Lepisosteus oculatus: one gene and its partners. The protein of the gene in region 1 interacts with the protein of each later gene in a pairwise test. Links are inferred from orthologs where the notes say so. Each region holds a gene or a part of one and is shown in the gene's direction. Other genes may lie near its edges. The genes, in order: txlna, rint1, btf3l4 and cep44.

The links.
Region 2: the proteins of txlna (region 1) and rint1 interact in binary tests that used the Homo sapiens proteins (3 or more experiments, as listed by UniProt). The two-hybrid records come from large-scale screens. The link is inferred for Lepisosteus oculatus from reciprocal best matches to the Homo sapiens genes TXLNA and RINT1.
Region 3: the proteins of txlna (region 1) and btf3l4 interact in binary tests that used the Homo sapiens proteins (3 or more experiments, as listed by UniProt). The two-hybrid records come from large-scale screens. The link is inferred for Lepisosteus oculatus from reciprocal best matches to the Homo sapiens genes TXLNA and BTF3L4.
Region 4: the proteins of txlna (region 1) and cep44 interact in binary tests that used the Homo sapiens proteins (3 or more experiments, as listed by UniProt). The two-hybrid records come from large-scale screens. The link is inferred for Lepisosteus oculatus from reciprocal best matches to the Homo sapiens genes TXLNA and CEP44.

Annotation. Positions count from the first base shown.
Region 1 is NC_090706.1:3,310,708-3,318,756, forward strand, and holds the start of txlna (alpha-taxilin), read left to right. Parts: upstream 1-4,666; 5' UTR 4,667-4,777; intron 4,778-6,307; 5' UTR 6,308-6,315; coding exon 6,316-6,478; intron 6,479-7,511; coding exon 7,512-7,787; intron 7,788-7,999; coding exon 8,000-8,049. UniProt on the Homo sapiens protein: May be involved in intracellular vesicle traffic and potentially in calcium-dependent exocytosis in neuroendocrine cells.
Region 2 is NC_090702.1:48,097,163-48,105,346, reverse strand, and holds the start of rint1 (RAD50-interacting protein 1), read left to right. Parts: upstream 1-4,814; 5' UTR 4,815-4,864; coding exon 4,865-5,086; intron 5,087-7,594; coding exon 7,595-7,836; intron 7,837-8,184. Other genes in the region: pus7 (pseudouridylate synthase 7 homolog), read left to right, coding at 137-228, 734-870. UniProt on the Homo sapiens protein: Involved in regulation of membrane traffic between the Golgi and the endoplasmic reticulum (ER); the function is proposed to depend on its association in the NRZ complex which is believed to play a role in SNARE assembly at the ER.
Region 3 is NC_090704.1:3,619,515-3,627,680, reverse strand, and holds the start of btf3l4 (transcription factor BTF3 homolog 4), read left to right. Parts: upstream 1-5,014; 5' UTR 5,015-5,184; intron 5,185-6,040; 5' UTR 6,041-6,048; coding exon 6,049-6,102; intron 6,103-7,803; coding exon 7,804-7,917; intron 7,918-8,166. Other genes in the region: txndc12 (thioredoxin domain-containing protein 12), read right to left, coding at 399-451, 2,001-2,061, 4,058-4,145.
Region 4 is NC_090696.1:73,394,622-73,402,018, forward strand, and holds the start of cep44 (centrosomal protein of 44 kDa), read left to right. Parts: upstream 1-3,979; 5' UTR 3,980-4,053; intron 4,054-4,254; exon of another isoform or gene 4,255-4,536; intron 4,537-5,334; 5' UTR 5,335-5,380; coding exon 5,381-5,469; intron 5,470-7,397. UniProt on the Homo sapiens protein: Centriole-enriched microtubule-binding protein involved in centriole biogenesis. In collaboration with CEP295 and POC1B, is required for the centriole-to-centrosome conversion by ensuring the formation of bona fide centriole wall.

The DNA of each region.
Region 1 (8,049 bases):
GACCATAAAAGACATTTCAGAGGATGCATGTCGTGTGTGTGCGCATATGTATATAAATTTGTGTGTGTGTTTATGAATGTATGTTATTTAAGGGTGTGATTTGTACCTATGCATATATTTGTGAGAGAGGTTCAGCTGCCTTTGCCTTCTGTGTGATGTTTGAATGATTATCCAGAGTGAATCATTCAATATTGCAAGACATTCTCATCCTTTCAGAAAGCTCCCACAGTGCGTTACAGCAGAGCTGGGCGTGCTTTCTGTGAGAATCTAGTTTCTCATTTGCTTTTCTGTCCTGCTGCTGTTCACAGATACAAGACACTTCTGCTGGTTTAGTAACTGCCCTCAAAGCTCAGATGTGTAGGCTGTTAACTATGCAAAAATGCAGCTGGGTTGCAGCCCTGTGATAATGTTCCCCATCTTCATGTTTTCCTTTTAATATCTATTAATATTCCAGTATTTTTTTTTATTGACAGTTTTTGTACATTTTAGTTCTACGTTGTCAATTGGCTATATTCCAGATTGTTTGAAAATGAGATGTTTTTATACATCTAGGTCTTGGATTTTTTTTTATAGGTGTTGGGTATTTTGGGGGGAAAAAAAGTTCTACAAGAAAGTGCCATACACTGGCATGTAAAAATAACTAAGCAACAGGTGTGTTACTAATAAAAATGTCTAAATGAGAAGGAATGGAGAAAAACATCTCCTTTTGCTTTAGGGTGGAGCCCGAGAGCTTTTTACTGGATTGGCGAGCCAGAGTTTACTTGCACCTGTAGATGTAAATAACAGGAAACATATCCACAAGAAGAATGTGAGAATATTGTTTGGAACAAAAAAGAGTAATGCACTCCTCTATTCACTGAAGTGCCAATCTGACCAATAAAGTCCCTGAAGGTTTGTCTGAGTATCTTCTTGGTCTTTATGACTTCTTGTTTTGTACTTGAATGTGCACAATTGTTTGTGCAAACTTTGCTGCTTTATTTGCTTAACTGATGAAGTTACATTACCTGCTACATTTTTTTAAAAAAAGTGGTGTCCTTTACTGTTCTTGCACTAAATTCTTTATATTGGATCAGAATTATTTAATTGTCGGGTTGATCTGTTTTTCTAATTTATTGTGTAGTACTGTTTTCAGATCTGCTAGTGATGGAAGCCATGGTATCTGTATCCGGAGTTTTGGTCATTGTTTTTGTATGAACCTTACCTGCCGTGCTGAGGGTGCACCTCCCTGTTTTCATGGCAGCATGCTGCAGAAGTTAGCCACGGTTTTTGGGCAGCACCTGCTTGGCTCTTCCATGTCGAGCGATCGCAAGCTCTTCTGGTTTTTGTCTCAGTTCAGTGGTTGTGGTCACAGAATGGTCAGCACAAAGTATTTCTGGGCTTTCGAACCTCTGGTCAGTCATTAGACTTCCACAGTCTGTTCACCAGCTTTGCAGATTTTTTTTTTTTCCAGTCTTCTTTGAATGTTGGTGGTCAGTGGGGGTTACTGACATTAGTCAGCTGGGATTAGGATGGGATAAAATTGACTGGCGGAATTTCTGAATTTCTAGTTAAAGAAATCTCCTTACAGACCTCCCGAATCAAACTGTGAAAACATGAACCATGCAGATATAGCAATAGAAACCTCCCCCCATTTGTGCGGACAGAGGATAAATCCACCCTTCTCGTTTAAGTGGTTGGGAATATTCTACAAATCTGGTGGAATTTTAAGCACAGGTTTGTTTCTTACATATCAATCAAGAAACTTGGAAGAACAAATCCAGTTGCAAGTTGTAGCACTAACTTCATGTGTTGATAGTTGTATTCTCACACTGCAGAAGTGTTCGTTGTCTTCGGTCATGAATTCCACAAATCAGGATCAGCCAGTAGCTTAAAATAGCCACATCCATATACTGATCCTTCGAGTCTGTTTTAATTCCCTCCTTCCTGTCTTGCTTCCATTTCCGATACGTCTTGGTGTTATTATTTTACTGTTTCCTTTACAGAGCTTTTATGCAAGGTGTTTGTGCTGTTATGTTGCATATTTTAAACACTTATTGTATGTATTCCAATTCAGTTTACAGGGTAGTTATGCATGTTTCATATGTGCCACAGAGCAGAGTTTTATGGTTCAGGATGGATCACGTACTTGTAATGAGGTGGGGAGTGAGGACAGAATTGGAAAGGGCTGTAGAAAGTGTTTCTGCAGATTTGATATATGCTATACTGGATAACCCTGAGATCCCTTTTTGGTCCTTTATTTTCTTTTTGTATTTGATTTTGGCTTGCTTGTGACTGACGCTTTGACACTGACTCTTCTTCAGCCGACCATGTGAATGAGTGTGAGGACAGATTCAGACGTGAACACGAACAGAACATGATACACATATACATGAACATGAAACAGAAATTAACAAAATAAATGAAAAAGGTTATGTAGGGTTACAAATACTGTAAGAGAATAAAAGTTCAATAAAAATGTCATTGAAATCTTGTTGCAATCTTTGTGTGTTTTCTTTGTGTTGTGACCAGTTATAGGAACTTACAAAATCTACCAATTGTCTTGCATACCTTAGTATGCACCAGAATCGGGAGAGATGCATATATACCAGTGTGATTAAAATAAAATCTGCATTCTGATGTTTCATGTTGTGTTTCCTTGGTGAAACAGAAAACACTGCCCTGAAGAAGAAACTGACATAAATTCTGAACATATCCAGTTAATTGTGATTCACATGTTGCATGTACTGCAAACATCCTTTACATAAAAACTGGGACCAGGAAGTATTTACCCCTAACGGGCGGGGCAGTGGCTCTGTGGCTGGAAGGTAGCCAGTTCAAATCCCACGGCCGCCAGAGGAATCCTAATCCATTGGGCCCTTGAGCAATGCCCTTAACCCCAACTGCTCCAGGGGTGCTGTCTAAATGGCTGACCCCAAGCTTCTCTCTCTCTGTCTGTGTGCCTGTGTCCTATGGAGAGCAAGCTGGGGTATGCGAAAAGAGCAATTCCTAATTCAAGAAATTGTATATGGCTAATAAAGTAATCTTGTCTGATCTTAATTTAATTGATTAATCCGATCCCTCAATTTCCCTTTGGGATCAATAAAGTCTTATGATTAGCCTCAAGACTTCTTTGAGCTGCATGGCCAGTGTATAGGCCCCATTGATTCAACTGAAACTTGTGGCGCCTCTGCAGTAAGATGACATATTGCTTCCTAACAGGAACATGTGTGTTGCCGTATGATAGTCTCATGCAGAGCGTGATCAAGCTTCAGACTGGGATGTGACGTTTTACTGAGACAATCTCCAATCTCCTTCAGATGTCACAAACAGCATTAGTGCAGTGCTGAGACATTACATGCCAAACACCGTGTCCATCCTGAAAATGAGGTACCCAGAGGACGCCCACATGCAAAGATGTGGGTTGCAGATCAGGATCTTGGATCAGGGTCACACCCCCTCCGTAATGGAGCAGTCCTTGCTGGAATATTCCAGTCTGGCAGCCTCTGCGAGGCGAGGATGCGTTTGGGTCAAAGATACCGACTGCACTGGGGCCCTGGGTTCAATTCTCTGTGTGCCATGTGAGTGGAGTTTGCATGTTCTCCCCCATTTCTTGTGGGGATCCTCCAGGTTCTCCCAGTTTGCTCCCACAGTCCCTGTGGCAATCTTCTGCAGTCAAACACATACTGGTAAGTTGACTGACCTCTGGGAAAGTTGGCCCTGCCGTGAGTGTGACTGTGTGTGTGTGTGCCCTGCCAGGGACTGGTGTCCCACCTACGGAATACTCTGCTTGGACCCCAGGCACTTGTCAGGATAGGCTCTGGCTTCTCCGTGACCAAGCACTGGATAAAGCTGTTAAAAAAAAATCGATAAATATAAAATCCAAGCGTAAATACATCAGAAAGCAGGAAAAAAAACTCTTCAGGGCTGCAGAGAACCATTGGAAATTTTCAAATGTGTGAAAAAACACGTATTATTGTATAATAATACATGTACATGTATAAAATGTATTATTTTGTTAGGATTCCCATGAAGTGGGGTTACCATACAGACGTCTTTTTCCAGACGTGTCCACTCCTGTAGTTCTTAATTATCTGTCCAGGAGGAATTTTCAAAACAGAGATTTTTTTCCTTAGATACTTTAATAGACCCTGCTACAAATACCACTGTCATCCGTCGACAGAGTGGCCTCTCTTTTGAACGTTCAAATGGAAACCCTACCTAAAGTAGTAAAAAAAAAGTTTCATTTATGGCTATATACTACCACTACCTTAAAGGTTTATTTTAACATTACACGCTGGTATCACTGCTTAAAGTATTATGCTCAAATCATAAAATATATCACAGACCTTAACAGGTGCCAATAATAGAGTATGAGCGGTTATCATTATTTATTTAGATCTGGACAATAATTTAGAATTGTCTTTTGTGTCCGGGGGCGAATTTGTTAGCTTTAGGAGTGCCATAATTGTTTTATCTGAGCAAGTTTCGCTTTTTACCAACAGCTTTTTGTGTCACGGTTATGGGAAACAGAAAGTTTATTTTTCCAAGCGCATTGTGGTGATTGAAGTCCTCTAGAAGCAGGAAGAAACTACATCGACCATGAAGCATTGCGAAACTCCGGCCCACCCTCTCCAACTTTCCCCCAACGTCTTTTCCTTTTATCTTGCACATCCGCTTACGGCGTCGCCAATCAGAATGTACCAATTCACCGGTATTTCCGGTGTGTCAGTTGGCAGGAAAGCAGAGTGTTGAAGTGTTTTATTTGCTCGTTTGAGACGATACAGATATTATTTCAGTGGTAAGTGTCGTAGAAATAACAAAATGCCTAGTTTTTTTTAGCAAGACTGGAATTACGAAACTGTGTTTTGTATGTATAGGCGATAACGTGAAGTTGTGAGTAGCTAGTGAACGTGATGAAGAATTATTCGGTTCTTTTCAGTAATCCTATTTTGCTGATATCGTAGTGACTTTTGTCGTTAGCTGTGATCCACATGGATTTTTTGTTCGATTATATTCTAAAGAGATTTAAGTTTAGCTCACCCCTTTTTTTGCTTAAGAAAGTCTGTTACTAGTTTTGTATCACTGTTGGTTTTAAAGGGGACTGTCTATTACAGTCGGCCAAATGTAACTTGATTTGCCTTTTTTAATCGTGTTGTCCCACCTACGTGATGCTGTTCAAATGCGTTATCATGGACAACCCTACGCATGTTTTAAAGTAATGATTCTATTTGTTGAGGGGTTAACAGAAACTTTGGATTGATACACGAAGCGAAAATAAAACAATGTCCGATACTAATAAGACACTTAAGTGTCGTAGGGCTGGCTTCAGGCGGTTGGAGCCACTGAAGTTCAGTGATTTCCAAAACAAAAAATAACGTTGTCACAACGGAATCTCATGTCAATTTTAGTGTAGGTACGCAGGCGTATCGGGGTCTTACTGCAGTCCTGTTGGAGCCTTGATCCGGAATAATATTGTAGAGGCTGGTTTTGAAATCGGTGTAAGTGGCTTCAAAGAAACGGCTAATCGTGTGAAACGTGTCACTGAAGTAACAGACCGAGTCAGTTGTTGCACTGTCTCCTGTTTCTCACGTTTGGCTTCATCTTGGTTTGGTTCTGCGAAATCCAGGAAATGTGTGCGCATTTCTAAACGTGCTCCTTGCTTAATTTGGGGATCTATCCCCTGGAATGATGTAAAATCACGCAAGAGAAATGAATTTCTTAATAGGGTTCGTAGCTCATGACAGGATACGTGTGCCTGTCGCCTGAAGGGTGTCGAAGGGAGCAGGGGTGCGCGCTCAGAAGAAGCTCTGTGTCTGTTTCACGATTTCGTTGTTCTTTCTCTTCTGCTCTGAGAGGAGGAAATGTTGTCTTTGAAATCCATCCATGTCCGTCGCAGGGCACACACGGATACCAACGCACACACTCACATCTGGGCCAGTTTTCCCAGAGCCCAGTTACCCCGCCAGCATGTCTTTGGACTGTGGGAGGAAGCCCACACAAACACAGGGAGAACGTACAAACTCCGTGAACATAGCAGCTCAGGTCCGGTACTGGGCCCAGGGCCCCAGCATTGAGAGGCAGTAGCACTAACCACTGCGCCAATGTGCCGCCCGAGCCTTTTCCTTGAAATTAAAAATTGAAAAGGTAATCCCTTGCATACATGACGTGTAAGCCATTGGAATTTCTGGCTTTTTAGAGGTCACTGTCAGGCATGGGTAGTGATCATCACCACCTCAGTTGCAGTGTAACCGCAGCAACAGCAGCGTCTAGTGAAAACGGCGGCCACTGCAGAGCTCCAGCCATCATGCCTTGCCCTTCCTCTTGGCAGCCGCCGTGATGAAGAAGCAGGACAGTGAAGGGCCCGAGCAGCTGTGCGGAGGCAGTGGGGCTCAGCCCGGAGAAGGGGAAGGGGCGGCTCTGGAGCGCGCTGGCAGCCAGGAGTCTGCGGACAACCAGCAGCCTGACACTCCGCCTCCGGAGACGCAGGCCAAGAACGGGGGTAAGTCGGAATCTGCTCTCGCATCTGTGGAGCGCTGCAGAGAAATAACCCGGAGATCATACACTACTTCACACTGTATGTCTTCTAACAGAACCTACCACCCCAACCTCTTAGTCTTGTGGGAAACCATTTAAGCAGCTAGTCCTGGTCTTGGCTGAAGTTCAGGACAGAAGGAATTGAAGTTGAATAAAGTGGAGACAGTCTAACAGCCAGTGGGGGGATAGGTTTGGTCCCTGCTAGGGTAGCTCACATGATTGCAGTCCAGGCTTGCGTTGGAGCTACCAGAAATAGCAAACTGATGGGGGCTTTAAACATCTTCAATCACCAGTGAACATGAATCTATTTTTTTATTCCGGCGATAGGTAAAAGATGTTTTTCATTGCACATCTCGTCAAATCGCAGGCTTTACGAATGCAGTGTCCTTAGAGTATTGCAGCTCCCCAGCAGGGAACAAATATCAAAACCTTGCCGAGGCACTAGGAAACAGATGAAATGACAATCCAGAATGTCCATATGTGATGTTTGCTTCTTGTCCTGAAGGTCAAAGATGACTTAAAGGCCCCACTGGTGAAAGGCTTGACATTCTCTGGAAAGAGCTCTCAAGTCCCTGTTAGAGGTGACCACAATGTAGCTGTTATTTTAGATTTCTTTGTCATGAACAGCCTTAGGATCCCTTGTGGTTGGTGAACTATTAGAAGAGTTATTATTCCAATTAAACCCTTATTCCTCAGGTCTTAAGGTGATGATGCTTCTATCTTTTTATGTGCCAGCGTTACTTAGACGTACCACCATTCAGAGTGCTTACACTCCTTCCATGCTCTCCTGTGTCCTGATGGGACCTGCAAATGTCCGTCAGATACAAATGTAGCATCTTAAAACATTTCGATCTGAAACCTAGAACTGTTAGACTGTGTCTCTAAGTGAGGTTAGCTTGAGCGGCTTAGACGAGAGTGTCTGCCTCAGTAGTTGCAGCCGTTACTCCCCGTTACTGGTGTCGGCGCCGCGCTGACGGTGCGCGTCCCGCCCTCCACAGCGGTGTCCCGCGACGTGTCGGAGGAGCTGAGCCGGCAGCTGGAGGACATCCTGAACACGTACTGCCAGGAGGACAGCGGGGAGGACGGGGCGCCGCCGGAGCCAGCAGAGGGCAGGAGCGAGTCGCCCCGCAATGGCGAGCCCGACTTGGACTGCCTGGTGGTCAACGGCCTGGCGGAGAAGGAAGACGGCAAGACGGAGGAGCCCAAGCTCAACGGGGACGTCGCCGACAAAGACCAGAAGAAACCGCAGGAGAAGAAAAAGGTTAAGGGCCTCGGTAAGACTTTTCACTCGCTGGTCACTGCACTTTGGAGCAGTGGGGCAGTTCTCCTGCGGCTTTAGACTCAGTTGAAATAGTTTAGATTGAACTGGGGGGAACAAAGACGAGACATTGTCCAGCACGTGTGGTTTGGAACCTACATGACCACCCGCCTGTCTTCGGTAATGTCAGTGGTCCTGCTCAAGTTGTGCACTTCCTTTGTCCTTCAGGAAAGGAGATCACGCTGCTGATGCAGACCCTGAACACCCTCAGCACCCCA
Region 2 (8,184 bases), on another chromosome or scaffold:
TTGCTGGTGTGTGCCACCGCCCTCTTCTGCTCTCCTGTGCCGTCTGGAGGCGGCGGTGGCTTTGGCCTTGCGGCCCTCGCGTGTCCTGGGCTGACCGCGGCCTGGGCGCCCCTCTCTTCTGTCCCCGTCCCCGCAGGGAGGTGATCAGCTACGACGACCCCCGCATCCCGCTGGTGCACACCGATGTCGAGAAGCTGGAGGGGAAACCGCCGCCGGTCTTCCCCAAAGGTCAGTTGGATTCTCTCCCATTCCCCTCGGGGACACACGCGGGGACACACGCGGGGACACACGCGGGGACACACGCGGGGACACACGCGGGGAGGGAGAGAGAGGGAGAGAGAGGGAGAGAGAGGGAGAGAGAGGGAGAGAGGGAGGGAGAGAGGGAGAGAGAGAGAGAGAGAAGGGGGAGCGGTGTGGGTCCGAGGAGGCTTCAGGTCCAGCTGGGATTGGGACACGGAGCGCCCCCTACTGGCCCCTCGAACGCCTCTTCCAGCAGTGGTCTTGGCTTTCCCAGGAGTCTCCCCTCCAGGCACTGACCAGGCTCACGCCTGCGGAGCTCCAGTGGGCTGCCAGTTCTGAAGGGGGATCGCTGCTGGCTCAAGGACAGGAAGGCCTGGTGTGATCTGCCACAGTGTGTAGTCAGGCGTCTTCAAAGCTGGTGTCGGGACCTCGCGGTGCAGTGTGGTGTCAGAGCACTGGGATTTACTCCTTCCTCTCCTCTCTCCGTCTCTAGAGGGTCAGTACCGGGCTCTCAGGATGGAGTTCTCCTTGCCCCCCTCCACCTACGCCACCATGGCTATCCGCGAGGTACTGAAGATGGACACCAGCATCAAGAACCAGACCCAGCTCAACACTACCTGGCTCTGCTGACCTGCGCCGCCTGACCCGGCATCGAGAGTGTGGCTTCAGTGCCGCACAGCCGGGCTGCGTGATTGTGCGGCTGTCCAGCTGTGCACAAGTTGCTGCTGCTCCTGTATATATGTACAGCCGCGTCTGTTGCGTGTGTGTGTTTTGCAGTGCTGTGGTCTGGCCACACCTAGGGGTCAAGGGTCAGGACAGACACACTGCCCAGCAGGCCTGCACACGGACGGCCGCCCCTCTGAGCAGTGTTTTTAAACGAGAGAGGAGAATATTGCACAAGGGCAAGTTTTTATTTTTTACTTTTTTTTTAAGTGTTACAATTTAAGGCGAAAGCAGGGGAAGTGAAATCGTTTTACTTTACAGCACTAGTGAGAGCAGGGAGGTGGCGATTAGACTCTACTGACTCTCTGTGCCAAGCAGTTTCTAACAGCCCTGGGATCTGTGCAGGGAGGTATTTTTTCTCATTTGTAGCCCCCTGGTTATGTTCTATTTTATACTCTCATTTGAAATTGCCCGTTGTTTAAGAGCTCTGCTGAAAAAGCCGCACAGTGGAGAATGAGAGTAGGTGTACGTGCCCGCCCATCGGAGCCTTTCATCTTGTGACGCATGGCGAGCCCCACTCCCTGACAGCAGTGCTTCCCAAACTGGTCCCATGTGGAATCGGAAGAGATTGTTTAAAGATCTGTGTTTTTGTGTGGCTTTTCCCAGCATTGAACCGAAGGGGTAAACAGTTCTGTCCCTTGAAACAAACTCAGATCATCACATCAGGCTTCTAGTCCAAAAAAGTGAACTGTGATATTTCTCATCACAGCTATAGTCTGTTAATGGCACCCAGCCCTGCTCCTGAAGGAACAGTCTTTGCTCCAGTGCTGATCGATGACTTAATTGATCTGCTTTCTTGTTTAGACTTTCATTGAACTTGTTTCATCTGTAAGTCCTGTGTGTCAAAATTTCCCGAATTCAAGGTTACCACTCCCAACACGTTCAGCATGTAGAACGCTGTGCCGCCTCTCCTCACCTTACAGAGTGAACAGCTCTTGGTAGCCGATCAGCTGCTGGTGAGCAGGTAGAGGTGGGAATGACGCAATGAGCGCTTCTCCTTCTGCACAAGTCTGATCAGTTACATTTCAGGGAGCGCTGCTGGAGGAGGGCAGCTCTGCAGCTCAGAAACTGGTACAGAGCAGATGACAAATACAAGCCCCGATCGACCTTTTAAGAGCTGCAGGTGAATTTACAAAATAGGTAACTGAGATCGGTGAGCCTGTGATTAATTACTCAGCTGCAATAAATAGAGGTACAGTTCTTCTAGGGCCAGGGTTAGGAACCACTGCTCTATGTTGAGAGTTTAAAATAATTAACTCTGGCAATATGGGTGCATTTTATTTAACGTTAAAAGCGTGCCGTGATCTGAAGAGGTTTGGGAAGCACTGCCTCTGGTGGAGAAGCTCCTAGCAGACGCCAGGGAGCGAGATGAAATCGGACCCTGGTACTCTCCCGGTCAGGTGTGTCCTGGTCACGGCCGGCTGGTGACTGCAGCCCACTCCGTCTGGGACGGCCACACCCTGCTGCTCGGCTTCACACACTGTGCCTGAGCCGCCCCGCTGGGCCGCCGCCGCCATTGTTTTAAACTGGACACCTGTATGGATGATGACTTCCTCGAAGAATAAAATGGCCGATACAAGAGTCTGTGTCGTTGTGTGGATCGAACGGCGGTGGGGGGTGGGGGGTTACTCCCGTGCGTAATTTAAAATCGTGTACCGGATATAAAATACATCACTTATGGATCCAACACGTTTACAGCCATATCGGGGAAGATATTTTTTGTAATAAGTACTTTGAATTGTATTGAAAAGACGTGACCTAAAATACATTGCCTGTAGGTGTGACAAATTCACGACATTATCAGGACAGTTTGTATAGCGGATACCCAGGTCAGGCTAGTAGCATGTGTGGCCACTGTGGGAGGAAGTACAAGCTGTACGTCTGGGACTCGTGACTTGTACCAGGTTGCAGATGCTGTGATGTGGGATTCTGTCCCTTTCCTCTCCTACTGCCTGGAGCCTGTGCCTGGTCACTGGTCTCTGAGCCCTAGATGTCACATCACCCCAGCTCATCCCAGAAATGTTTGATGGGGCTCACATCAGGATAGTAGGGATTCCACAGTATAACAGCCAGGTTCCTGTCAGTCCCTGCCTGTGGAGTTCTGTAGTGAGTGGACACTTCTGCCCAGTGTACACAACCACCGTCACATCTGTAACATCAATCGGGGTGGTCGACGCAGAGCGATGCTTCATCTCTGAAGAGGCCTTGGCTCAAGGGCTCTCTCCCCCTTTACTCTGATGAGCATTAGGCCTCTGTGTGATTGTCTGGCCTGCAGACAGTGGCTGCTCAGCTGCCCCCACAGCTGAGAACTGTAACGGACTGCAAGTCCAGTGGCAGTTTGAGATGACGGTGCATGATGTCGGTTCTGGCGAGGTATCGCGACTCGTGCTTTCCCAGATCAGTCCCTGTCAGTGCTGTTACGTGTTGTAACATCTTGCCAGATTTCGGAATAGTCGAGCCTTTCACATTCTGACGGCACAAAGACATTGTTCTCTTCGTCTGCTGGACAGATTCTGGGGTGTTCTTTCTTGATCCCTCAGGGTAATCCTTGAACAGGTTGAATCGCCTCATCCCCTGTGCTCGGTCAGCTCTAATGAAGTGATTCAGCGACTACACAACCGTCAAAATGACTTCCACAGTCAATCATGAATGATCAATTCATAAAACCGAAACTACAAACAACTTCTATATGGGCAACCTTTCAAACAGCTGAAATACTTCTGTTTTATTTTCCTAAAACATGTATGTACGGTGATTTTTCCACTCTGGTTATTGCCTTATAAAAGGGCAATAATACAGTGATGTTCCCTGAGCTCAGGACCTGCGTGGCATGGGCTTGGATGGTGCTAGGCTGTCTGCTTTGATCTGTTCCTGTGGTTTCTGGGAGAGGACGATGGGTGGTCAGAAAAAGAGGAGAACCCTGTTAGAAGTAGGGCCTTGCTCACTTTCCACAGTCAGACTGGTCATTTGTAATGCAATGGTCCAGCAGGAACGGTCAGCAGGCATGTGTGAGAGCTGTTCCTCAGGTCAGTCTGTCCACATGTCTTAAACAAGTCTGTCCAGCCTTCCCGAAGGGAAGATTCAGCAGGGGACAAGCAACGGCGGGCTAGTGGGAATGAGCTCTTCATGAAGCTCAGATTTTTTTACTGTAAACTTATGGCGCCATTTTGCATCCTATATTATTGTTGGGCATTTTTTCAGGTGCTTTTATCCAGAGGCGTTTGGAGAGAACGTCGCCTGGATACAGTCATAGCCGAAGTGCTCTGCTCCAGCTGCACGTTACAAAGGCTGTGTAAGGTTTCCACTGTGATGGTGGAATCCTTCTCTGCCATCACAGAAAAGGGTTGCTGTGCATGGCCAAGTCAAACCTGACTGAGTCCAGGCTTTGGGGTTTTACTGCCTCTGCATCATCCCCGGAAATATTTTCTTGTCTGCAGGATGGAGAGCAGACAGGCCATTCAACCCATCTTGTTTGTTATATAGAAGCTAGTAGCAACACCTGATTCAATAATTCAAAATCCTCAAAGACACTGACAAAAGTCAGCACTGAAGCACAAACCTATGTGGAAGAGCATTTAAAACCGAGAACAGGGGGCACTTCTTTACCCAGAGGGTTGTGGAACAATGTTGCTTCGGCCATGTTGCTGAAGCTGATACTCTTACTTCCAAGAAGCAGCTGGATGAGATCCTGGGATCAATTAATTAGGTACTAAATTCCAAACGTGTTAGACAGGTCAAACGCGCCTCGTTTGTCACCTACGTGCTGATGAAACAAAACAAACTGAAGGGCATCTCTCGGGCTGGGGAGCGCCTGCAATGCCTCTGGCTGCCACAAGAGGGCGCCGACCCCCCGCTTGCTGCTGACGTGGAGACGGGCCGAGAAGGACGCTTGCGAGTAAATATGGCGGCGCCCACGAGCGAGCGGGGCTGTTCCAGAAGCGGCGGTCTACCCGGTTCGGGAAACCCGGACAGCAGTCCGGGGTCCAGGGAGGAGGAGGACGGCATCCCGGAGCACGTCACCCAATATGTGGAGAGCGAGATCGGCGGGGATCTGAAGTCCCTGAGGAAAGTGAGGGCCCTGCTGGAGAGCCTGCTGGCGGAAAACAAGCTTCTGGAGGAGCAGGTAGGGCAGCCGGTGGGCGACACGGGTGACGGGGGCTCGGGGTGGGTCAATGGCAGTCCGTCTGCAGCGCTGTCCGCCCCGAAGAGGATAAAAGGACGGGACCGGCGCAGGGCATTCATTATAATACGGCCAGTATAAAGTGTAGCTCAGCCCGTTATTACTGAGAGACCAGTAACCAGTGGCTGTTTGTTACTGCTATACGCCCGGGTCGACGCCCCTGGTCCCTCTCGGGTCCTAGTGTAAGAAACGGGTAATTATTAATAACAACAACTCATCATAATGCCGGAGAAGCTGTCGGAATAACCGGGGCACAGAGCCGACACGGTCGCGCTTTGCTGATCCTCGTTGTACATGAGGCTCTTCACGCCCGCTATGAGCTGCAGCACAAGGAGGGGAAAAGTGCCTGAAATCCTAATAAGCAGGGAAACGACAGAGAACCGGCCCGCAGACTGGGGTTTGAAGTGTACGAGCCGAGTCCGCAGAGACACACGGACAGTCCACACGCCAGTGTGTGTGTGTGAGAGAGAGAAGTTTTCTGTGTGTGTTTGCGTCCCCGTTAGCGCTCCGCCGGTGAGCGCTTTGGCACATCGGGGTGCGATTGTCATGCACATCATTTCGGGCACAAAAGAAAACGTCCTTTGCATAAAGTCCAGCCGAGACGTGGGAAAGCGCCGCTTTCATGCAGCCCGGCTCGGCCTCTGCCGGGAGTTGTGCCAGATGAGGAGGGGTCTGTGGGGCGGTTGCCCTGCGCAAGACCTCATGCGGAGCAGGTGACATCAGTCTGAGCGGTGGGTGTGAAGAAGTCCTCGCTCTTCCGGCGATGGGTTGAAAATATTGCGATCTCTTCCCCCTGATGAGCTCGGCCCCTGGGCAGCCCTGTTCTGTGCAGGGGGCTCAGTTTCCCACCGAGACCTTGAATCAGGGCGACTCGCACAGACAGGCACTCAGGTTCGCTGAGCTTGAACGATGCCTGAACGATGAATTACTGCAACAATAAGCAAGGCATTAATGTTTACACTTATATAGCGCTTTTCTGGACACTCCACTCAAAGCGTTTTACAGGTTAATGGGGGCTCACCTCCACCACCACCAGTGTGTAGCCCCACCTGGATGATATGACGGCAGCCATAGTGCACCAGTACACTTCCCACACACCAGCTCTCAGTGGGGAGGACAACAGAGTGACAAAGCCAGTTCAGAGATGGGGATTATTAGGAGGCAATGATTGGTAAGGACCAATGGGACATTTGGCCAGGAAGCCAGGGTTACACCCCTGCTTTCTTCGAGAAACGCCCTGGGATTTTTAATGACCACAGAGAGTCAGGACCTCGGTTTTATGTCTCATCCGAAGTATCGTCACTATACTGGGGCATTAGGACCCACATGGACCGCAGGGTGAGCGCCCCCTGCTGGCCCCACTAACATGTCTTCCAGCAGCAACCTTAGTTTTTCCCAGGAGTCTCCCATCCAGGTACTGACCAGGCTCACACCTGCTGAGCTTCAGTGGGCTGCCAGGTGTGAGTTGCAGGGTGACATGGCTGCTGGCCATAATTTGGGATGCTCACTCTGTTCCTCAGGCTGTGACAGGAGATCACATACTGGGCTGCAGCTCTATTGAAGCTGTTCCCATTCTGGCAGGAGTGGGCATTCTGGAATTAGATGTCGTAATTTAGGGAAGAACATTGGCCTAATCCCTGAGAATTTTTTGCAGTGCAGCAGAAACTTTTTCTCTGTCCCTATGTCTCCCAACTGGCAGTGGGAGCACAGCCTGTCCTCTTTTAGCAGTGAGGTCTGCCTGTGTCCAGTTTCCATGGGCAGGCTGTGGTCACTGAGTCTGTCCTCTCTGGGCAGTCAGGTCTGTGTCCAGTTTCCATGTCCAGGCTGTGGTCACTGAGCCTGTCCTCTCTGGGCAGTCAGGTCTGTGTCCAGTTTCCATGTCCAGGCTGTGGTCACTGAGCCTGTCCTTTGTCAGAATCTGTTTCTCCTTGTCCCATGCCAGTTTGTGTTGTTTGTGTGTGTCCTGATGGGAGAGGCGGTGTTGTGTGGTCACTGCGTAATCTGTGTACTATTGGGGTACAGCTCCCCTCCATTGTGGACATTTTTAAAACTCGCTGTCTCAAGAAGGCTGCAGGTATCACTTACGTCAACAATCATCCCGGTTTCTCATCTGTCTCCCCCCTTCCCTCTGGTAAGTGTTATAGGAGCATAAAGGCTTATACGTCCAGATCCAGACGTACAGTTTCTTCCCACAAGCTGTCAGGTTACTGAACTCTGCCCCTGCCGCTGGCTCACACTGATGGCCTTTTTTTTGTCTTTTCTTCTCACCCTGCTTGTCTGACTTGTTTTTTTTAAGTTATATGTTATTTAACTTGTTGTTGTTCTGTGTTTCTGTTTTTTGGTTTCCTTAATGTCTTCGTACTGGAGTGTACATGCAGATAAGCGTGTCATTGTGCCTGTGCTCATGACGCGTACACGGACACGTACCTGGTCTGCTCTCCCCTGCTGCAGGTGCTGACCGTGTCCAGCACCGTGCCCCTCCGCGTGTCGGCGGCGCTGTCCGCGGCGGAGCAGGCCCAGGACTCCCTGCGCCACCTGCTCTGCAGAGAGAGGGCGCTGTCCAACACGCTGCACCAGCACCTGCAGGGGGCGCAGTGCTGGGCCGACCGGCTGGGGCCGCCCCTGGGGACGCTGGACCTCACTGCCAGGCACCTGAGCTACCTGAGGTGTCTGGGCCGCATCGAGGAGCTCAGGTGAGCAGGGGGAGGGGCAGAAGCACAATAGCACAGTACTGCACAGCTTGAACCACCCCAGTCACCAGGGCACACACAATCACAGCACACGCTGGCCAGCTGCTGGACCCTAGAAAGAGAGACAGCACGCACGCACGCACGCACGCACGCACGCACGCACGCACTGGCCAGCTGCTGGACCCTAGAGAGAGAGACAGTACGCACGCACGCACGCACGCACGCACACATACACACGCACACTGGCCAGCTGCTGGACCCTAGAGAGAGAGACAGCACACACGCACACTGGCCAGCTGCTGGACCCTAGAGAGAGAGACAGCACACACACACACTGGCCAGCTGCTGGAC
Region 3 (8,166 bases), on another chromosome or scaffold:
ACATCAAATAATGCTCAGGAAGAATTAGGAAATACATTGCACTTTTTTTCTATTTTGTTTCTTACATTTCACATTGCTACCTGTAACTTGTATGGCCTCCTCTGATTTGTAATCTTGCTGTCCTTCCTGTACAGCAGCATGCTAATTTACACATGTGTTGCTTTGGAAATACAGGGGGAACTGCAGAAAGACTGTACAGCTGACAGGCTCACAGAAGGAAGGAAGGACAGTAGTGGGCACATCTTTTAAAACCCATCATAAAAACCACTTTTATCCCACGTCTAATTTTGTTTTCCGTATTCAAATGTGCACCTGTGCATTTCTCGTGTCTTTGCGTTTGCTATGTTTTACTGTAAAGCGCCTTGATGATTCTTGAAAGGCGCTGTATAAAATATTACCTTTGCAGGCTCCACACCAGGACTTGTGTATGATGACCATGAGGGGCAGGCCACTGCACATGAGGACACAGAACACACAGTCAGACCACGTGGTCACTGATCATCACTTACAAGTACATCCCAGTCCGCTCTGCAGCACCTCGTCACAGAAGGCACTTTATTGTGTCCCAGTTGCTGTATTGTCTAGTTGTCTGTTATCATGCTTGTTTTGGACATCTGTAATCCTATCGTGAGTACTGCATTAAGTACAGACATAAAGGGATCACATCAAAGAAGAAAGCAAACTACAGTACAGTCCCTGTGCTTCAAAGTATTGGGTTACTGCAGCAGGTGACAGAGATGAACACTAGATCCCAAAGGGAAGTCTCTCACTCTTTCCACCTGCGTCTCTTGACAACCAAGATCATACAGTATGTCGAGGCTTTTTTGAGAACGACAGAGGTTACGTGAAAGCGAGTGGACCAACTGTGATGCAGCTGAAAGGAGTGAACTTGACTTTTCCAGCAGGGAGAACTCCTGTATTTCTCAATGTCCTCGAGAATTACGGGAGCTCTCGGACTTTCGTTGAACATGCAGCCAGAAGCTCCTATTTCACAAATTAATCCGATTACTCCGTTGAAATGAAAATATCAGATCAAAACTGGCGTCCACTGCACTTCAAGTGCAGCACGCCATAAGTGCGAGTGGATCAACAAATTTCATGTTCTAATACAGAGGCTGGCACAGAAGATAAACACCCTATTCCTTTCAACTCTTACGTTTCCCTCTTAAGTCTAGCTCAGATCAGTTTTTTTTTATTAATTTATATTCAATATTCTTTAAATTTCATACACAAGCAATTTGGAAGGGGTAAATATTTAAAGATGTCTATCCTGCAAAGATCGACAGTGAAAATGAAAGAAAGGGGACGTGGGTGGAAACTCAGAAGTTGTGCATTTAATAAGTTGTTGCAGGAGTCTGGAACAAGCTGCCCAGCCCAGTTGTGGAAGCCGATACCCTTGAATGATACCTTGTATTGCTCTTCTACTCAATATTAAACAAGGGGTGAATGATGTTTAGGTTTATACAATAACTAGAACTTTGGTATTTTTTGGGTAAATGTAGTACATAACTTATATAGTTCTAATTAAATAATGTTAGGATATCTAATTTGAAGTGTAGGGTTTAATTTGAGGAATTGGATGCCAAACTTGTACAACAATCAACTAATACCTCATTTAGAATATTGTGTACGATTTTCTTTCTTACAAAAATAAATATTGCTGCTTTGGAATCAGTCCTCAGAAGAGTGACCAGATACATTCTCAGACTTAACATGTGCCACGTCAACAAGCTAAAAGAACTAAATATTTTCGTCTGGAAAGAGAGGATGTTACAAAGGGGACCAGACCAACACAAACCAGCAGATCACAGTGGAAACAATGGGGGAAAAGGGCCTGTAAAATTGAGAACATGACACACTTCTTCACACAAAGAGTGGCGGGGGTGTTGAACAAGCTACCCTGCCATGCAGTTGAATCCGATACACTGGCTGCGCGAGATCCTGGGTCCAATTGGCGACTATATGCCGAACGGGCTGGCTGGGGCGTCTCAGGTTCTTACCTAGCATCTGCTTCCCTTTTGCCATCCTCCAGACTCCTCCAGTGAATATTATCACCAAACCCTGCAGAACAACAGGAACAGCGGGATCATCCCTCTGCCAGTGGCGGAGTTAAGCCGACACAAGCTCAGAGGGAGTTTTACTCTCTTTGGTCTTTAAAAAAAAAACAAAAGAGTAGCCAAAGCATCTAGACTGGAATGAGGGAAAAAGTTCTTCAAAGGCTTCAGTAAGATGGCTTTGACTGATACCGTAACCATCCCTTGAATAGAATACCAGTAAATGGCTTTCAGTGCACTGTGCGCCATACCAGTTACCTCCTCCTGTACACTTGTTAACAGACAGCTTGGAGAATTCATTTCAGGAGCTATTTTAATAGTTTACTAGGAAGATCAAACCAAAACCGCTAACAAGAGTCACATACTGCACATAAAAATGCAGTCAGTGGGGAAAAACGCGCTGAAAGTGCTTCTGAAGATATGCTTCCTTCTTTAATGAACTCAAAGAAAGCAAGAGGAGGTCTCTCAGAGTTACAGTGATGTTTTAGATTGAGGCAGCATTGAGGAGTAGTGTTGAGGCCTCCGGGCTGCTCACTGTAAGGTAGTAGTTTCAGTTCCTGTGCGAGGTATTGCTGTTGTACCCTTGAGCACAGAACTTCCCAGAGACTTCTTCAGTAAGAAACCTAGCTGTATAAATAGGTCATTCTGTACTGAAGTGTCAGAAGGACAAAGTAATGGCAATGAATATCTTTCATAACCATTGTTCTGTTACTACAAAACCTGACTGTGACAGCTCCAGGTACAACAATGATCTTATTCACTAGCTTGACCGGCCTTTAGTGTTTCGCGACACTCCTAGTCTTATATTTCAGTTTTGTATATCATATTGTATTCTGACAGCAGATTACCCATTCCTCTCTACAGAACAGGTTGCCTTTCCTGCTGTGCACGTATTGTCAGGACTCTCTTCTCCACTGGCTGCAGGAACGAGAGGAGGCTTAAAACACTGAGGAAGAGGACGTAAATGATGAAGGACCAGTGCACAACTGGCAGCGCCAATAGGCACTGCTTTCGAGCTTTCCTTTTACCCAAGCTGGTTAGTCCCTCATGGAACCTACCTTTCCTTAAACTGTGATGGCTAAGCTCATTCCACTGGTTTTAGAGTTTTCAGCATATTCACGGGAAATTAGAAACCCGCAGGACAACTGCAATGTGAGGAGCAGGTCAGTGTGCTTAGGTTTTGAAAAAGTTAACAATAATCCAACAAAAATGCTCAACAACGGCCTGCTCACGTTTGTAACCGTTCTCATGTCCTAAATGAATCTGATTTACCGTATTAAATAAAGATCAAACCGTCTGTCCTAGAAAGTCCTAAGAAAGTCCGATGACCTCCCTTCATTTATGGGGAATTGGAGAATCACATGAATGGCGAAGTTTTATTGTAGAAAACAGTACAAATGGAAAAACAAAACCGTAGCATTTAAAAGGAGATAACCTGATATATTTTGCAGCGAAACTACTTATTTTTGACGCAAAGAGAATCGGATTTCCATTAACAGCACATTAGACAACACTTTTCGAACTTAACTTGCTGGCATTGTCGTGGAACCTCGTTTGCGTAAACGATTTGTTACAAATGTGTAAACGTATCCCTAAATACTTTCGCAACACTGTAACGCATCAGCCAGGCCAATAAGGATTTGTGAGTGTGATTATGCAAGATAAAATATTATTTTAGTATAGTACATGCGAGCATAATAGATATTTCACGAAGGATTTTATTTATACACCAGAAAACATGATTAGTTCACCTCTTCAGTCTCAAATGAAATCTACATGCTACTACTGTACATGGATCTCACTAGTAGAACTGCAGTATGAATTTCACGATTTTCGGAGATTAAATAACCATTAACTAAAAAAAACAGTTCGTCCCTCTCTCTCTCTCACCCACACAAGGTTCACAAAGATTTCTGTAACAGACATGCAGTGATGCCTTCAGTGAAACGCGCTGCCGACCAACATGAATTCAACATTCATCACCAAAATATAGCACACCTCACCTCTGCCAAGCCCCTCTCCTGTAACCACAGAGAGAACGACCAAAAAGCACAGCACAGTAAAATTAACCAGCGGCATCTGCATCTTCATTATGAGTTTCAGATTTCGGTAAATATAGGACTCAACCTTGTGCCAAGCCACCAAAACAAAAAAAAAATCCAACCCCCCACCCCCAGCGTAATTTTACTCTCCTGGTCCGACCTCATCGAGGAAGTGACGACAAGCTGCTGGCTCGGTCTGCGTTTTTTTGTAATTAAAGGGATCGTAAATATTTCACCTCCATTTTCCATACAGGCGCACGGCAGTGCTAAGCAGAGAAGAGCACGTTTCCAAGCCGCCGTCCGGGGGATTGCCACTCTATCTTGAGTTACTTTTGAGACGAAAAACTATTCCAGCAATATTTTTGTATATTATTTAAATGAAATAAAAGGTAGCACTCATATACGGTTGCTTAAAGGGGAATTTTAACCTCCTCTTTTATATGTGATCAAATATCTTAAACTATTAAACTCAACGTTCAGATAACAGTGTTGTTGTTAATTGCTATTATATCAGTGCATGGCTTCTATGAAATAAAACAATCTAAAATTCTAGCAATGGACGGTCTATTTTAATATTGGCTACAACATGTGATGCGGTTGGCAATATGTGAGAGCAGTCAGCGATGGGATGAAGCAACAAAATACATATTTGGCTAAAATATTATTGAGCAGTAGTTTGACGTTCCAAAATTATTGTATTATTGAAAATAATTTGTGATATAATTTAAATACAATATTATAATTTTGTGATATTTAAGGAATTATTAAGTGTTAAAAGTCATTAAGTAAAACTACTGTTACAGAATTTTCTATCTAGTATACTGAATTATAAATTATTGTGACCACCGGAAGTCGTGCCGGCGGACTGTTATTTACTGCGACACCGCGACAGCCCTCTCTTCCGCCAAGGCGGGGGGCGGGGCCTCTGGCCGTCACGTGATAGCGGACGCAGGTTCTCCCTTAGATCCGCCATCTTTCGTCGCCGCGTGTTCCTGTCTCTGCGTCTGTGTCTGGATCCCCGTCAAGAGAGAGGCCATCTCTGCTGTAGTGGTGCAGAGGGGACGGAAAATAGAAAAACAGTAAAAAAGGTGCGGGGAAGAAGGTTACCGTGCGAAACGAACCCATAGAATGTTGTCATCTTTTTTTCCCCGGCCACAGTGTGTGGACAGTGTGGTATTTGCTAATGGTAGCCTGCGTAAATACTACTGTGTTGGCTGAAAATGGGCCTTAGCGTTTATTCGTAAGAAATTGAAGTGCTGGCATAAACCTGGAGCTGGATTTGTGGGTATTTTTGTTCGTATGTGATACTAATATCGCGTATCAGAACAAGTGGGCGCATTCTTGCTGGGTGTGCTGGTCATTTTAATAAAGGCACGTTCATTGTGACTACGGTGTGTGTGTTTTATCTCGTACGCTAGGCAGTGCGCCGAGGGCAGAACCCAGTTGCAGTTTCTCTTTTTTTTTTCTTTCCTGATCAGTCAGTGTGTGCTGACATGCCCGTGAAAGAGCGAGGTTTTATCAAGGCGCCGATTAAATGTCCTCTTGTCGTTAACACGTGTTTTTATTGACATTTATGTCTGTCCCTTCTCGTGTGAAGTGGATCTGTTGGGGACAGCCTTGGTTTTTACGTGAAGGGTCACTATGATTATTCCTGTATTTTTTTTTTCTGCATCTAAACCGAGTTTTAGGTTGGAAGCTCTTGATGAATGCTGGACCTAAAAAAGGTTTTTAAAGCACTTAAGTAAAACTCAGTTGTCCCCCTGCAGAAGAAAGTAAGTTTGAGGTTTTGACTGAAGTTCTTAAAAACTCCGGTACATGACTGTAACTTAACAGCTTTATTCACCAGCTGCCTCTCCTGTGCTCCGTCAGGCACAGCTGCTGAGTGAGGTACCAGCTCTTTCTTGTAAAAGTAACAGAAGCTGCTGTGTTCTTTTTGTGTTTCAGATAACGCTATGAATCAAGAAAAATTAGCCAAGCTTCAGGCCCAGGTTCGAATAGGTGGAAAGGTAGGAGTCTTTTTTTTTCTCACCCCCGATCTCCTCTACAGCTTGTCTTTGCTATTCAAAGTAGTAACAGAATAAAATCCGGTCAAGTTATCCCTCTCAAATGGCTTTCATTAGTACAGTTATTTTGAACCGTATGTCTTGTTCTTTTGTTATGTACTTTTGTGATTTCTTCCCAAAAGAACAAGGCAGGTCCGCGGCAGTCACATCGCTGACTAGCGCTTCTTCAAGAACGCAAGGTCACAAGCCAGGAGGCCACCTGGCTTGTTTAATTGATAGATGAGGACTGAGTTCTGCTTGCTGGCGGACGGTCTGTTTTGACACGCTGTACCTGTAAACCCGTCGATAAAGCCACACCAGGCCTGACCCTGTCAACTTCCAGCTCTAGGGGCGTTGACCCTGCCGGTCCCAGTCGGGATCAGACGATCTCGAACGGTTGATCGTGATGAGAAGCCCTGCGTTTACAGTCCACTCTAGGTTGGATCGGCAGTGCGGTTAGCCCCGAGATCAGTAACTCAGTAACTCTCCTGGTTATACAGTGTCGTGCTGCCAGTCAATGCAACACCAGCACATGGAGGCCAGGTTTTACTCGATGGGCATTCTGGGCGACATTTCTTTTTGCCGTCGGCGGCAACATCGGCTGCTCGACGCTTGCTCGGTCTGAGCATTTGCACGGGATCAGACCGCCACGTGGCTGAAGCTGATACTCATGGCTTCCCACGAGGAGCGGCCCCGTAGGATCCTCATGGCTTTAAGCTTGTAACTACAAAAGGGACAAGAGGGGCCGGATGGCCTCGTCTCGTTTGTAGCCTTTCTTGTGCTCTTAATGACGTCGGTCACGAGTGAAGCTGTTCGTCCCTCTTCCTGGGAAGCCGGCACACCCCTGAGGAGAAGGTGCAGTCCGAGGCAGGGTTCACAGTCATTCACCCTGCCGTTCTGGGAGTGGGGTCAAGGTCTACTGGGGTTGATCGGATGAGAATCAGAAATGGCCGTGTCAGTGAACCTGTCGTTCTGTGACTCATCCATTTAATAGTCTTGCGGCTTTGATAGAGCTGAGCATCCCTTGATAATGGCGGATGAAGGGGATGACTTTGAAGCTCACCCTCCGGTCAGTGGAGTGGGACACGGACCCGTTGAGCACTGTTTGGAGACCCCTGTTATTTGCCGCTTGGTCAAAGCAAAGGGGTAAAAAGAAAAAAAACAGCTCTTCGTGCTGTCCACACAGGCCCTAGTTCTGCTTGCATCGGCATTCCTTTCATGGTGGTGTTTGGTTTGTGCCATTCATGCAGGGGCTGGTGGCTTTTACCAGCTCTGCGATTTCAAAAGGACAAGAGGCTCATGTCCCTCTACTGTCCCATCTCTTCAAAGCCATTCTGTAGAAGTTCGTTTAGTAGTATGGCTTCTAGCAAATTTTGGACTCTGGGTTTTGGGATAGATGATGGAAAACATCCAAGGGTTTAATTTAAGCCAGTTCTTCCAGGTTTTTGATGAAAACCTATGTTCTTTGTGATTAACGGGAATTGGCTGAAATGTTAGCTTAATCTCAAAGAGAAATGTTGTCATTCTCTTGCAGTTTTGTTTTGGTTATTCATTGCTTTCCACATCCTGGATCCTCAAAACTGTTCCTGGCTTCCTCCACTCCTGTTGTTTTTGTGCGCGCGCATGTGTGCCTCTGTCCCACGTTTTCTCCTGTTCGGTCTGCAGGGAACAGCGCGTAGGAAGAAGAAGGTGGTACACAGAACAGCAACGGCTGATGACAAAAAACTTCAAAGTTCTCTCAAGAAACTGGCTGTGAACAACATTGCAGGCATTGAGGAGGTGAGTAACCTCATACAAGCCCAGTGTCACAGGGTCTGTTTCATTGGACACCAGTGTAAAGTAGCGGTGAGGGATCTGGGCTTGTATTGAGAAAGTTGTGGGTTCAAATCCTGGGTGAGGCACTGGAGTTGGACGTTTTAGCATGGCACTTCACTTGGGTTGTTTTTGTAGAACGCCCAGCTGTATAAAATAGGTACAAAGGTAAGTCACATTGGATAAAAGTATGAGCCAACTGATAGTTATGTACTT
Region 4 (7,397 bases), on another chromosome or scaffold:
ACACAGTAAATGACAGGCCTGAAAAGGAAGAGGAGAAGCCCTTCTTCATATGTGTACTTGGATTTTCAACCTATTTAGAATTAATAGGCTAACTAAAGTGGGGTTATTTTATTATTATTTTAGAAGTATATAATTATGTCGTAAACATATCTTTACATATTTGGTCTGGGATGAGAGCACCTTCATTGCTTTATCTATGATGTTATTTGTTTAATTATAATGGGATTCAAAATTATTTTGCCAAGTTACCAGCTTTGTGATCACAACCTAACAGAATCATCCCCCACAGAGGCATTCCTAAAATATTTCTAATTGTTTAAAATGTAATGTGGGCAGGACAGCTTTAGGATTCTGACACTATAATTGAACTTGCTTTTCAACATTCTAGCATAGAGTGTACAGACAAGATAAGGAGTGGGCAAAGCTTTGTAAGAGTAAATAAAATAGAATGCATATTATTTTCAAAATTTCAAACAACATGGCTAAAAGCACAAAGCTATAAATGAGAGGATGCCAGTTAAGAGGCCTGATGTGCGCAAAACATCAAATCCTATCCTATATCATGTCTACAGTACTGATTTCTATTTATTTCTGATGCAGCAGAAAACCTTCTGTATTAATGGTAATGCACACGGTACAGAATCTTGTACAAAAACCTTAAAAAACATAAAAACACAAATATGAGTGATCAGGGATTATTCAATAGCGTTGCACAAGGCATCCATCCCATTTTCACAGTTGAAAAACATTACCAAAAGATAGACATTTATATTTTTAAATGACCAAGTGAGATAAAGCTCAATTTAATGGTAAATTCTGCAATATTCTACTTTTTTTCCATCTCTGCATCGGGGAAAAAGCTGAAAAGGGAAGCGTTAATTGCTCTATTAAGACTAGCTTGTGACGTGAATCCATTGGCTACATCCCTCTCATTCCAACTACACTTTGAAATGGGTCAGATATACCGTAGATAATTTAACACAATGACAAGTCTAAAAATATTTTTTTCCAACAAACTGAATGGTGTGCATCTTTATCCTAATCATTGTGCCGATGTGCCACCCATCTTCAAACATTACCTACCAAATGTTTTGATGGGTTAATAACTGTATAGCTCCCTCAGTCAAAAACATAAAACACTGCTATACCAACACATACAAATTCAGACATGGATATACACACAAACTCTTTAACAGACTCTATAAAACACCTAATCATCTAAAAAATAAAAAAAGCTTACACAGTTATATCTGTTTTCAGCAGTGAAATCACTGATATTAAGGGGAGAATGAAATTACATGCTGAAATGAAAAAAAAAGTACAGGTACATCTGGTTTGAAGTTTTTAAATAACTTTGAAACATAATTTTTGTCAAGAAGAATTATGAACCAAAATTTTTTAGACTTAAATGAATATACCAGGACTCAATATGAGCACCTATCCAGCAAGCTGTTCTCTTCAAACAGATGTCTATTTATCCATTCTCCACCAGAGGATCACAGAAGGGGAGGAGCTCATCCAGGCAGGTAACAGGCACAAGGCAGGGTACACCTTGGATGGGACGCTAGTCCTTCACAGAGTACACACACTTTTGCACCTTTTTCCAAGCAGCCAATTAACCTGCCAGTATGTCTTTGAGCTGTAAGAGAGCACCTGGAGAAAATGTGGGTTTTCTCTGGGTGCTTCAATGTACAAACATACAAACACCATGCAGATAGCACCCCAGCAATTGAACCCAGGGCCTCAGTGCGGAGAGGCAGCATTGTGCCAGTGTGCTAGCCATCTTCAAACACTTCTCTCGATATTGCCATTTCAGATTTTCTTCAGTAAAATATCTGAAGTCTACAGGTTTCACTTGAAACCAAAAATAACTTGCAATAACACACTACTCCCAGAAAGGGATTTCCTGCCCTTTTGTTTGTTATGGTGTTACGTGTGTTTCTCATAGACTGGAAACCACTATACAGCAAACGGAGGTAGCTTCAGTAGATGCATTTTATTCATAATAGGTTTTTTGGAAAACTCCTGATATCTTGCAGGATACTCTTATACAACTCGACTCCGAACATATAGTAGGCTAGGTGGCAATCAAGTACTTGATTCTCAGTGGTGGTTCCTACTAAACAAAAACGCAGTTCAGTGATAATACATTATTTTACACTTAAATTTGATTACTGCCGTCTCTACTATTCAAATACAGATTCTCTTAAAGAAAAAAAAATACATTTAATGAAGGGGGTAGATTAAGGCATGCTTTCTGAAGCAAATACGCTTATTTAGAAACAGAAGACTGATTCAAGGCATTTTCAAATGTAAATGCTCACTAACCTCCAGTGAGGAGATTGCTGTATTTTTCACATACTGTATAGGCCTACTGCATTGTACATGAGTACGCAGCTCCGTTTTGCTGATCTGCCTAGAGCAAGAACAGGGTCAACATCTGAGATTCAGAAGGCCTAAACCTGCAGAGTCTGAAAAAAAAAAAGAAGTTAATAATTGAAGTAAGGTGCTTACTTTGGGTTTACACATATAAAATGTGATGCGTCTTGCTGAACAGCACAAGATTTCATAAAGCAGGCCCACTGTGATAATAATTCCAACTTACAAATACTACTTCCATTATGTAGGATATAAACTGCAGCCTCCATGACTGATGCAATTATGCACCAGTAGCCTCATTACAAGTAAGGCAGGGTCGAGAAGTCAGAAATATATTTAATGGCTGAATTGGGGGGAAACCTTTTAGGCCAGAATGCACAATCCCAAAGAGATAGGACAGCAGGGTTAAAAGCACTCCTCTCATTAACAATGCCATCAGATGCTAAAGGACTGGTTCTTTCTACAGTGCAGTTCCACACTGTCACCAGACTGGGGTATTGATGCGAACATTCTGGTCCAGGGAGACGTTTCTGACCGGAAAAACGCTGCAAGCTTCTGAGATCTGAGACCGATTTAGGCCAAAAGGGGCAGAGGCTGCTGGCACAGATAAATAACTATGATAGTATTCTTTCATTAATAGCTACATTAGACAAGAATCTACAAGCATGACAACCAACTCTCCAAAAATATCAGTAGTAATTCAAAGAAAGTGTTACAGTTCAGCTATCCACCCTGAAGCATTACGGAACAGCATCTGGTGTTCTCATGAAGTATTTTGTCCATTGGCTACACTTACAGTTCGTAGAATTTAGGTACATCTCTTATATTTGTATTTGATATTAAAATCAATGTAACGACGCACCTCCGGCGACTATTAAAGCATTACTCGACTAGTGTTCGGCTGTGACCGCAGCAGGAGTTCACTAACAACTCGCGGGGAAGCTACTCATAAGATCCAGTCGCCCGTTGGCTGTGAAAACAAGTGTTGATCATAAATCACCAAATACTCAGGAAAAATGAACGTCGCCAACTTGTGACAAGTGCTGTGCCACCAGGCGACTGAACACTGCACGTCACAGGCGTGACGAAGCTGTGCCTACTGCATTGTCCGACAAAACAACAGGTCCTGCGCACGACTTTGTTCAAAAAGCTCCCCGAGAAGTCCCAGCGGTTCTGGTGCCGCTTCAGCAAGCTTGACTGAGGTCCACGCCTGTACTCCACCATAGGTGGCTTCTACAGAAATCTGCCACTGCTGTGATTGGCCTGGCCTTCTGACACTCAAATGTTTTCCCTTCTTTGTTAAGTTCGGTTGATTTACAACAACAACAACAACAGCAGCAACAGCAACAACAAGGGAAAAACAAAACATAAGAAAACGCCACCTACCTGTTCAAACTAAGGAATTCTACCACCGCCGCCGCGACGAAACAGCGAAGACTAACAAGCACTTTCGCAGGAATGTTTCTCTTTTCCTCCGCGATCAGTTCCCAAGCAGACCCATCTGAGACCAAAGCTGCCCCGTCTTTTCCACAGGAAGATCGAGTACTGTCTAACCTGCGTCTGTAGCGCCTCTTGCCACCTCCTCCTCCTATCCGTGACCGCCGGAGCTACTTCGCTCCGTCAGCCTCTCCACTGCTGTCACTTTTGACGTCCCGTGTTGTTGGTGGAAATGACGTAAGAAAGTAAATGAGTAAATCTATCTTGGGATCAATTTCCTTTATAAAAAAAACAGACTTAACCAGCATAACACATTCATGCTATCCAATAATGTAAAATTTCGTTACATTCAGTAAAAAAAAAATATTTTCACCACCTGGGCCAAACAGATTGACTTTAATTGTTATCGAATGTGCGTCTCTTAATTTAAAGATAATTGTATGCTTATATGTAGTTAACCAATGGCGGCAGTTCCCATGATTAACCCGGCAAGGAACAAACTGATTTTTTTTTTGTAAAGGAGAATTGTGTTTACGGTAGTTAGCAAGATAGTTTATATCAGGGTTTCGCATCTGAAAATAAATTCGTGATTTATAACAGTAACCGAGTGTAACATTTACAAGTTTTAGATTTTAATTACAGATACAGCTGATATATAAATTGTCACTGCTGTTACTGTATTGCTGTTGAGTTTTAGTTACTACAGCTGTAAATAAACTGGTAAGTAAAACTTTTTAAAGAGGAAAGGTGCATGTAGTTAAAAACTTAACATTTTAAAAGAAGACCTACGAAGTTCTGTTAGTTTCAAGTTTGCAATAATTGTCGATTGCTCAAATGTTATTATTGGTAATTCAAATCCTAGCGCTGGTGCATGTACAAAGTTTGCAGTGGAACTCAAATTGCATTATTCTAACAAGTCGAGAGTAATCATCTGACTTGCACTTTGTATCTTTTGTTTTAATGGCACCATCTCTTAATTTGTCGGTTTACGTGTTGCACCGTTTTCAAGGTTACATATTGTGGTCTTCTCACCACAATATGTAACCTTATATATAACCTTCTTCAGCACAAATCACAGTAAATCTAAAACAACAGTTGCTGCAGTTCTGGTGTGGGCGATCCATTTGTTCTTGTTTGTTCTCGGAGTTATCGTGGCAACACTGCATTTTCCTGGCTTCTGAAACGACTTAATGAAACAGGGAAAGCAGCTGAATAAGTTCAAACAGAACCCTTTTCCTCACAACTGTACTGATTTAATAAATTAATAGGAAACTGTTGGTTTAGTTACTGTAGGTAGCAAGGTACGTACCAATAACAAGAAACGATATAAATGCACAGTACGTTACAGATACTGCCCAAGAGAAATGGGCAAACTGTCAGATAAACCACATGTACGGTAGTCGGTACCTTTCAGAATGTATTCTTACATTTAATCGAGTCGTGTATTTTGTAATTTATCGTCATTATTCGGGTAGTGAAAAATGCTTCACGTATTGACCACTGTTTTTTCATGCTCAGAAACATCAGGTAAACACACACACACACGCAAAAATCTTCAGTGACAATGGCAACGGGGGATCTGAAAGGCAGTCTGAGAAAGCTCGACCAACATCTTCGATTACTTAATTATCCCAGAGAAGTGGATTACACTGGGTAAGAGCGATTGTATAATTGTTTGTCAGCTATACGAAAGTCTTTTGTATTCCATTTCTCCCATCCGCCCATGCAGCCTTGTCACCTTTGCCAATTCATTGTAATGATAAAGAGTTGTCTACTTTGGTGTAAATACTGTATATAAGGCCATATAAAGGATATGTGTAGAATGTATGACTCAATTAAAAGCAGTACCCTCTGAGCTAGTGTTGGCCCTGAAAAGCTTTAAATCCCCAGACACGGTGAATGCTGTTGGTGATCTGTGAATCACAACCTAGCAGAGCTTTAGAAAACTTGTGTAGAATCTGTAACGTGCAGCCCGTCAACTTTAAAGCAGCTGTTAAAGATGACTTGGGGGAAAAAAAAACTAACTCTTGAGCAAGGCAAAATAGGACCTAAAGCAGAAATGATGATTCAAGAGTCTGAAGGGGGTCTGTTTAGAAGTTATTCTACTTGAATCTCCTGCCTTTAAAACAGTATTTTATGTTTGGGAAAACGAAATCTCAAAAGGACAATATTGTTTCCTATATACATTGTGAAGATGTCCAGACTAATAGAAAAACAGTTAAAGCATTGCATTATTATAGCCACTGTCTTGATTTTAAGTTATATTATTAAGTAGTGGTTGATGTAGTAGTAACTATAAACAAAAGAAGATAATTGCTTAGATGCAAATGTGATGGACATAATGTCTGATGGAGGTTTCCTTACAGTTTAAGGGGCACAAGAAGCCCTCAGGAGATTTTTACTTTATTCTTTAGTCATTGCTTCCTTCTAAGGACCTGTTATAAAACCTCTATACATCTCATGTCATACATGTGGTTTTATTTACTAATAGTTAGATTAACATCTGGTATAAGCACGTTTCTTTAATTTCCTATGATGTAATTTTTTGTTATGCTTTCTGTTTCAACCTTTGTAGGCTGTAAGGTCACAGCTTTCTAAAAGGAAGAGATTCTGGCAGCTATTGTAGTTTATTGTTACCATGCCATTTTGTAAACTGTCAAGGAAAAAGGCAACTTGGAAAAATGGGACCTGTTGTTAGATTTATTACCCTGGCTGAATCACCTTATTTTACCTCAGGGTTTATTAATACCATATTAATTTCTTATGTCCGCGGTTTCAAAAAAAGTTAAAAGAAATTAAAATTAAGGAAATGCTTTAAGAAGTGCTGTGGTATTGATACATATGGTATACATTCTTTCTCTTTATGGAAATAAGCGGTAAAATATGTGCATGGTTTTCATCATAAGCGCATACACAGCAGGTATTATGAAAGTAATTTCTGTCTTGACTTACAAAGAGTTGTGTGTAAGGAATTGCATCAATATATTGTGTGCCTCGTTTTTGCCCCAATAAATTCCACAAGAAATAGGCCACAGCAAAGTTTTTCAACACCGTGTGTCATGACTATGAGACTGTTAACTACATAGATTAAAGAAGGACAGTTAACCTGTCTCCACCTTAGAGGAATGTTTAAAATTGAACGTTTTAAGAGTTACATCACTTCTCATTATACTGTATTGGGGAAATCAGAACAAAGTTAATTGACAATTATGTCCCATATGAATGCAAGGAAAGTGTATGTTTTCAATAAACATTTAGTGCAGTTTTTTCCTGTATCTGTGTTCAAGACCTGGCAGCAGAAAAGTGAGCTGTTTTGTAAACACCCTTATATTTACATTAACCAGCTCTTCTAGCTAAAACAGATCTGAACTGAAGATCAGATGCGCTGATATCTGTTTGAAGTGCAGACTGTTTGCAGTTAGAAGAAAAATATTTTCCATAGATACGTGTAAAGTCTCCCAAACAAATGGGCAATGCAGTTTTATAAGAGGATAAGAAGACCCATCTTCTTGTACATGCTACTATCATATACTTAATGTGTCCTTAATGGGAGGGTTTTTGAATGTCTATTTAAATATCTT